Rattus norvegicus: one gene and its partner. The protein of the gene in region 2 interacts with the protein of the main gene of each other region in a pairwise test. Links are inferred from orthologs where the notes say so. Each region holds a gene or a part of one and is shown on either strand. Other genes may lie near its edges.

Evidence for each region.
Region 1: the proteins of Ptpn6 (region 2) and Lair1 interact in binary tests that used the Homo sapiens proteins (3 or more experiments, as listed by UniProt). The link is inferred for Rattus norvegicus from reciprocal best matches to the Homo sapiens genes PTPN6 and LAIR1.

Annotation. Positions count from the first base shown.
Region 1 is NC_086019.1:79,228,419-79,232,922, reverse strand, and holds the start of Lair1 (leukocyte-associated immunoglobulin-like receptor 1 precursor), read right to left. Parts: upstream 3,013-4,504; 5' UTR 2,982-3,012; coding exon 2,948-2,981; intron 1,182-2,947; coding exon 1,146-1,181; intron 1-1,145. UniProt on the Homo sapiens protein: Functions as an inhibitory receptor that plays a constitutive negative regulatory role on cytolytic function of natural killer (NK) cells, B-cells and T-cells.
Region 2 is NC_086022.1:159,234,251-159,238,640, reverse strand, and holds the start of Ptpn6 (tyrosine-protein phosphatase non-receptor type 6), read left to right. Parts: upstream 1-1,571; 5' UTR 1,572-1,737; coding exon 1,738-1,751; intron 1,752-4,390. Other genes in the region: Grcc10 (protein C10), read left to right, coding at 16-192, 849-1,000. UniProt on the Homo sapiens protein: Tyrosine phosphatase enzyme that plays important roles in controlling immune signaling pathways and fundamental physiological processes such as hematopoiesis.

The DNA of each region.
Region 1 (4,504 bases), on a different chromosome or scaffold from region 2:
TTTATGCAAACAAGTGGGTTAAGGCTAGTTGTGGTGGTACATACATTTAATCTAAACAATCAGGAGGCAGAAGCACTGCCAGCCTGGTCTGCATAGCAAGTTCCAGGCTATTCAGGAACACATAGTGAGAATCTGTCTCAAAACAAACACATTAATTAAACTATCTAATGGACTTAAAAATTAACTGGAGGGGGGCTGCATCAAGGACATGGTGACATAATACATATAGGAACATGGACAAGAGAGATCAAGTGTGAATTTTTATGTTCTATCTGTAGGGACTGTCAAAGTCTTCCTAAAGGGATCCTAAGAGAGGTCTGGATTGTGGGGAGAAATCTCTCAGGAGCAGGCTTGGTCACACTGAATTAAACTGTCTTTGCAGACAGCCTGTTCTAAATATATCTCACCCCACATTCTTTACAGCACAACTCCAAGTATAGAAGTAACTTGGGTAGATAAACAGATAAAGAAAATGCGGTGCACAAACATGTTAGAACACTGAACATTCTTTAGAAGGGAAATGCTGCTGTTAATGACCACCAGAACAAATCTGGAGGGATTAAGTACAATAAGCCAATCAAAAAATGACAAATATCATAGGATCTCCCTTATGTACGGAATATAAGGTGTTCATCTCAGAAATGGATATAATGATAGTAGACCAGTTATCTGAGGACTAAAGAGAGCGTGGATGAAAAAAGAGAAGATGCTGGTCAAAGGTACAAAATTCCATTTAGACAGGAGAAATGCATTTCTAAAGATCTACCAAGCAGACAGTGACAGGTTGTTCCTTTCAAAATTCCAATAATGGTAGATATGTAACATTCTCAACCTTAAAAACAATGAGTGTCAGAAGTGATTTGCATTCAATTTAGCCCAATTTATTCATAGCATAAAATAAAATACATATCAAAACAGCAGGCTGCATTCCAATTGGTGTATATCATTGTTATTTGTCAGTTAAAAACATTATAAACAAGAAAACAAAGGAAGACAGGTAAAAAAAGAGAAAGATGAAGCTTACAGAGTTAGAAGTGTTTATGATTACAGGGAATATTTGAGGGTCTCTTTCCATACATTCCAGATGCATGTGATCCCCTCCAAAGCTACCCATTGGTACAAAAGCAACAGAATACATAACTCACCCTCCTGTGTGTTACTTTTCCATCCCAGGCACAGTACTGAAAGAGAAATTCCAGTAAGAAAAACATCTCCCACAGTTTGCTTGGAAATGAGAATCTAGGAAAGACTAAATGTAGGTAGGGACATCCAGCTTCCTGTGATTATGCAGCCATTGACCCTCCACTCCTCCACATTAACATCAGAGTATAATCTTGTATCTTGTTTTTTAAGAACTCTAAATTATCCCCAAAGCCACAGATGTAGACATTCAAGTATTATTTGAGCTACAACGTGAGTTCAGGGTCAATCTGAGCATATTAGAGAGACTGTGTCTCAAAACCAAAAGTAAAATGAAGGCTGGGTTTGGGGGATAGAGGTTCACAAGCCCTCACCTCTATCTGAGAAGCTGTTGACAGATGATAGCTTCTGGGGAAGGGAGGGTCAGTTTTCTCGGAGGATATGGCCTGTGGTAGGTTGACCATGCTCCAGAAGATGGTCATACACCCTTGTGTAGATGGATAGCACAAATTATATTCATGGGATTTTTTTAAAAAATGACACAATATTGGGATAGGGAGGGAGTGGACATGGAGTTACAGGCAATAATGGAGGTGAATGTGATCAAAACACATTGCATGCACCTATGAAATTCTCAAAAATATTTAAACATATCTAATAAAAGAATTATTTATCACTATGCCCATAGATTGATGCACCCCAGCCCTCATTTCAGCAGCTCCTATGGAGATTAACAAAGACCTATAACTGGCCAAGGTGTAGATAAAAACAGGCTGCAAAATGTTCGGCCTTAAAGGGAACATACAAACTAAATATAATCTCCTCCTCATAAGACTTGGGGAGCATTTAGGAAGAGTAGATAGAAATAATGCTAGAGCCAGATGCAGTAGATGGCTTCATGGAATACACAAACGTCAGCTGCATACATTAATTCAGAGCAGTTGTGAGAGCATTCACAAGACCTATGCAAGGTCAAACAAGACCAAATACCAGAGTTGGAAGGAAGTTAGGCATACACTCCCTACTTTAGCCTTAAAGCTATTGGGAATTGCTGACTGCTGAAATAGGGAGAGTCAGTTCTCTTTGTTTTATTTAAGAGTGTAGCCCATAAAGCTAATCTTAATGGCTCATAAATCTAATCCCAGGAATGGGAGGGAGAGGCAGGTGGAACTATGTGTTTGAAGCCAGCCTGGCCTATATAATGAGTTCCAGGACAAGCAGGGCTACATAGTGAGACCAAGCCTCACAAATATAAAATAAAGTATAGTCCCTATTGAGTCAGCCTCGCTCTAGTGCTAGACCACATACTTAAGAGTATTTGATCAGAAAAAAAAGAGTATTAGATGAGCACAAATTGGTCTTAAAGTGCTTAAAAATGGAACAAAGTTAAGAGTAGGGAGGAGAGGTAGATCCTGGAAGAGTTAAGGATGAATAATGTAAGAAACTCTCAAAGAATTAAAAAAATTTAATTCTGAGAAGGATAATCAATACTACATAACATTTGTGATTGTGAAAAATAAAGAGGGTTGGGGTGTAGGGGATACAATTAGGTGATAGCATGCTTACCTAGCACACATGAGGCCCTGAGTTCAACCTCCAACACCAAGAAAAACAAATGTTCCCCATTCATCTTCCCTTCTAAACAGGCTCTTCCTAACTACTTTTAAAGATGAACTGGACTTCATGCCCCGTCCCTGTTACTAACAGTAAGTCTGCAGAGATATCTTCCAAGTAGGAGATTGGGGGTGGAGAGACTGAGTGAGGAACAGACTCCCTTTCCCATCCCTCAGTTTTTCCCAGGACTCACCAAGCACCAGCACGATGACAGAATGAAGTGGCATGACTCAGGCTCCAGCAACCTTACCAGGTCTGGCTGGAGCAGAAGCCCTGCAGCAGGCACAAGAAACAGGATGTGTGCACTGGATCTCTTCACAGGGTTTCAATATGAGGTTCCTCACATGAAGAGGAAGAGGTTTCTCTTCTGGACATTTTACTCTTTCCGTTAGTCACTGGCTTCACAAGAAGGTGTCAGGTTCTAAAACATGTTTCAGGCCCCTAAGTTTAGATGCAGCTGAGCTCATTCCACAACTTGTTTGCCTCTCTGTAAATATTCAAGAATAAGATGGTACATATCAGGTTCCCATCATAGAAAGTAAAAGCAACCAATTCATGCAAGACATTTCAATACCCAAAGCTGCTCATGTTATGATTTTTGTAAAACATCTTAACAGATATTTCACACATTAAATGTGTCCTGCTAAAGATAATGTTTTTACTGTTAAATAATATTGGGCTCTGTGTGTGTGTGTGTGTGTGTGTGTGTGTGTGTGTGTGTGTGTGTGTGTGTATCTGTCTGTCTGAGGACAACTTGCCAAAGTCATTTGTCTCCTTCACAATGTAAGGTCCTAGGAATCAACTTCAGGTAGTCAGACTCAGAAGTAAGCATCTGTACCCACTGAACCATCTCACTGACAAAGGTAATATTTTTCAAAACTAATAAATATTGTCAGAAGTGTGCACAAATTGATCTTTCTCTTCCCGTTATAAGAACATGGGCTCTTGAATATTCTGAGGAATGTTGCCTCTGAGTTAATGAGTCAGGATCATTTTAGGTAAGCAGACACCCTCCCTCCGTGCCGCTAGAGGGGAAAAAAGTAGAAATCACAGGAAATATTGCTCTTTCTCTTTGGAAATAGCATTATGATTTCAGACACACACACACACACACACACACACACACACACACACACACACACATGCATACAAAGAAATTAAAAATAGAACCCTGGTAAAGGGGAAAACAAGTATGAAAGAAAGATGTCAGCACTCATGTAATCATTGCAACTCTATTCCCAAGATCTGTTGCTAGGAAAAATCATTCTGAAAGTAGTTGAAGAAAGTATGGTGTACATAGACAGTGTAATGAAGATGGTGATGATGCCATGTGAAAATCCATGGCTGAACATTCAAGAAATGGATATAGGTGAAATAAACAAGACCAAGAAGAATGGGTGATGAGTTGTTCTTCTCATTGAAAGTATGTAAATTAGCCATATTCAAGCTGGGCATGCTGTTCCATTCCTGTAATCCCTACACTTGGGAGGGTGAAGTAGGAGGATTGCCATGAGTACAAGGCCAGTCTGCACTACATAATGAGTTCTGAGCCAACCAGCGCTATATAGCAAGGTTTTTTGTCTCAAAAATTAAATAGTCCAAGTCAAATTCATAAAAGCAAAATTTGGAATGTTATCTACCAGAAGGGAAAACATTGGGAAGTTATTTATCAAGAGGCAAAAACTTTTGGTCAATTAATATAAGTAATTCTAAGACAACATAGCACCTATAGTCAATATTAGTAAATTAT
Region 2 (4,390 bases):
GCTTCGGTCTCGCAGTGGTCTTGGCGGAGGTGATCCAAGCGTTCTCGGCCCCAGAGAACGCCGTGCGTATGGACGAGGCTAGAGACAATGCGTGCAACGATATGGGCAAGATGCTGCAATTCGTGCTGCCTGTAGCCACACAGATCCAGCAGGAGGTTATTAAAGCCTATGGCTTCAGCTGCGACGGGGAAGGTGGGTCCTACAGGGAAGGGCGATGGAATGGACTGGGGGTGGGGCGCATGATGGCTCCTGGGTCGATTTCTTTCTCGCCGCAGGGCGGCAGTCACAGCAAACATTGCCACTCACAGCTCTGGGACTATACTTAAGCCCGGCCTAAAATGTTCTGACTCTTGAAACCAGGCAGTGCTGTCATGCGCCTTTCATCCCGACATTTAGGAGGCAGAAGCAGGCAGATCTCTGAGTTCGAAGCCAGCCTCGGTCTGTAGGGTGAGGCGTTCCGGTACAGTCAGGCTACACAGAGAAACCCTGTCTTGAAAAACAAACAACAACAAAAAAGTTCTGGCTCTTAAGCCCAAAGCCCTGGCTATCTTGGAACTCGTTCTGTAGACCACGCAGGTCTCGAACTCAGAGATTCTCCATCTACCTCTGCCTCCGGAGTGCTGGTATTAAAGGCAGTGCCAACTGTTTTAGGGCTTTTCCATACTGCATCCAGTTGTGCCTAGTGAAAACCCGGGAGGGGTTCGTTGAAGCCCTGCAGGACATCGGCGTGTGTCCCCCTTTGCAGATGCTTGCCTGACTACAAGGAGATCTCCTACTCTCAGGAGCCCCCTTGCCTGCCTCCACACACTGGTCTCCAGCATTGTGAGATGACTCGCTGCTTCTTGCAGGTGTCCTTAAGTTTGCCCGCCTGGTCAAGTCTTACGAAGCCCAGGATCCTGAGATTGCCAGCCTGTCAGGCAAGCTAAAGGCCTTGTTCCTGCCACCCATGACACTACCACCCCACGGGCCTGCTTCCGGAAGCAGTGTGGCTGCCTCCTGAGATTGATTCTTTTCTGTGTGCCGCTGCTATGAAGGAGGCCCTTGTGTTCCAGAGGATAATAAATGTGCTTGTGGCTAAACCTTTGTGTCAGTCATTCCTAGTCCTGATTACCCCCACTCGTTGCCGCCTCTGGCCTTTCCCCTCCTTTAGGCCCTTCCTGGGCTCTTTGCTGGACCAACCCTGTTCTCATGAGCCCTAGGGTGTGGGAGGCTAAATGGTCCTCTTGGCCCCCCGGGAGGTTTGCTCACAAAGGTGGTATCTCCTATGAGCAGTGGGCTTCAAGGCTTTTCTTTGGACTCTCCCCTGCTTTCCACTGTCTGAGAGGTACTCTTCTGAGGGCGGTCCCTTGGCTAGGGTTACTTCCTGGTCTTTGCTTCTGCCCGCCCTCCTCCTGCTCTTTCAGTTTGAGCTCCAGGTGGAACAGCAGGTTGCTCCTCCCCTTCCAAGAGAAGTAGGCCCGGGCAGGCCAGAAGCCTGCTGGACTCCGGCAGTCCTCTGGAGAATTTGGCTGTGGTGGGCGGTCTCTGGCCAGCCCCGCCCCACCCGTCCTTCCCTCAGAGACCTGTAATCCAGGGGCTTGGCCTCAAAGTGCCATTGGTTTGACAGGCTGGATGAGGAGGAAGTGGCCGAAACCGAAATATTCTTCCTGAAGGTCTGGATCCCCGAACAGCTGTGCCACTCGATTGGCCCCGCCCCTGTCGCCCTTTGCCTGTGACTTCCCCCACTCCTCCAGGGAGATGCTGTCCCGCGGGTAAGTCCCCTCCACCACCTGTGTTCCACAAACTCCTGTTAGTCTAGGTGATGGGCATTGTTCACACCCTCAACAAGTAAACCTCCATAATAGTCTACCGCCACCAATACCCCTGCCCTGAGGCTGGATCCTGTCCCTGTGAACTCTCTCTCCTTACCACAAGCTGAGCCAGCCCCAAATGGGTATCTTTTCTTATTTTTAACCACTGGCCTGTGGTCCTCTGCTTCTGCCTCCTATCTATCTGTTCCCCTCTTGGGTAGTTCACATCACCTCAGACATGACAGTCTGAAGGCACATTTGAGAAAGCTCTTCCATTCCTAGGCACCGCCCTCCCCCGCCCCCCACACCTACATACACCTTGGTTCTCTCCCTTTTCCCCAAAGGAAGCAAACTTTGATAGATGAATGGTGAACCAACACAGTGGGCAGGTACTGAGTAAGATGTTGTTAACATGAGCTTGTATGAGGCAGACATGATCTCCGTTTAGAGAGCTGGCATTCCAAGCAGAGACGACAGAATGAATACATAGGCAATAACTAGGACTATTTCAGATGGCCAGAGCATTAACTGACACGCAGGAGAAGAAGCGGCTTAAGGTGCTAGCAGTGATGGAGACATCACTGGCTGACAGGGAGGCCTTCCAGATGAGGTGGTGTTTGAGCTGAGATCTGGCGACTCAACAGAGGCAGCCATATTGTTACCAGCTGTCCCGAACCATCCCAGGCAGAAATAATAAGTGCGAGGCCTCAGTTTGGGGACAAATGGAGAAAGGATAGTGTGTTGTCCCCAGAAGGAAGCCATGGGCACCTTGGACTTCAGTGGGGTTTGGAGAGTGAAAACGCACTCTGAGGGTGCTGGTGACTTTGTGGGCTGTTTTACAGGGGCCCTGTGGAGTTTTGCTTTCCATACTCAGGTGAATCTTTCTGTGTACACTCTTCCTCCGGTGTATACCTAGTCTCTGCCATCCTGAGGGGTTGTACCGAGACTCCCCATCTGGCTTGACAAGGCATCTCCCAGTATAGAACCTTTCTTGGTTCTTCAACCTGGACTTGCAAGACCTCTGCTTTGGGTGGCGGTCCAGCCCCTTGCGTACTTTAGTTCAGCTGTCTTGATCTGCTCACACTGAGCAACCCAAGAGCATGTTTTCCATGCCAACCCTGTGTTCTGGTCCATCTGCCTGTGGGGGTGGGGGGGGTTTGACCATCTCCCAGCATGCTTTGCAGTGCCAGGCATCCCCTTAAAGCCTGCTGGTCCAGCGCTGTGGCAGGCGACAGACCACCGGCCCCAGACAGCTTTGGTTTCTTTCACCTTCCCACTCACTGGAACCTTGTGACTGTGGGCAAGTTACTTAACAAGTCTTAAGATTTCACTTTTGTTTCTAAAATGGGGAGAGTAACAAATAAACAGTATTGCCATGAAAATTAACAATGATACAGTTGTTTCAGCTAGGATAGTGGTATTGGACAACCCAAGAGAAGCTGAGGTAGGAGGATCTTGAGTTTGAGGCCAGCCTGGCCACATACAGCAAGGCCCTGTCTAAATAAATAATAAAAACAAAGGTTAGAGTTATTGCCTAGCGGGCATAAAACCCGGAGTTGACCGGGCAGTGGTGGCACACATCTGTAATCCCAGAACTTAGGAGGCAGAGGCAGGCAGATCTCTAAGTTTGAGGCTAGCCTGATCTACAGAATGAGTTTCAAGACAGCTGAGGTCACAGAGAAAGGAAACAGTCATCTGCCAGTGTCTGTGGGAGATTGATTCCAGAGGGACCGGAAGGTACCAAACTATGCAAATGTATTTGCCTGTAGCATCCAGCTGAACTACTGCAGACTTTATCATCTCTGAGTACCTGATACAATGTAAATGCTATGCAAATCGTTATATTGTATTATTGAGGAAACTGTGGAGGGAAAAGGGTCTGCGTCTGTCCAGTGGAAGCATACTGTCTGTCTATAGCTGACTGAAACTGCAGATGCAAAATCAGAAGAGAGAATCCACGGTAAAATGTGCTGATGACAGGAGACCTTGCCACTTAGCAGTTATGTAGGTGAGGAGGTCCTCCTGAGGGCAGGCGTCTCGTTTGACCTTCTGTCCCGGGCTTCGGCCTCCCGAATACTGGGGTTAGAGGCATGAGCCACCACACCTGGTTGCTTTATTAGCCTTTTAGGGTCGAGTTTAGGAAATCTTGTGAAGTTCACATATCAGGTGGAAATCAGAGAAGTCTAATAACCGTGTAATGGTTGTATTTTGTCCTCGGCAGGCCCCTAGGGCCACTGATCTTGACGTATTCCCTTATCCCTTGCTTCCCAAAGGAATCTCGTCCTCTTCTAGATACCAGGCATTTGTATTTAGGTCTGGCAGCCTCCTCGAGTCTGCTTAAAACAAAGTCCCAACCTCATAGGTAGTCAAAGGCCACCTTTGTGGTCATTACATATATTGTTCTTTTTTTCTGGAGCTGAGGACCGAACCCAGGGCCTTGCCCTTTCTTGGCAAGCGCTCTACCACTGACATATATTGTTCTAATGCTCGGCCAACTCCAGGGCCCTGCGCCTTGCTTCTTGGAAGATTGTCATTATTTTCCTGCCAGAGGACAGGATGGGACATCAAGGGTCAGTAGTAAGTGCCTCGTGAGCGCCTTC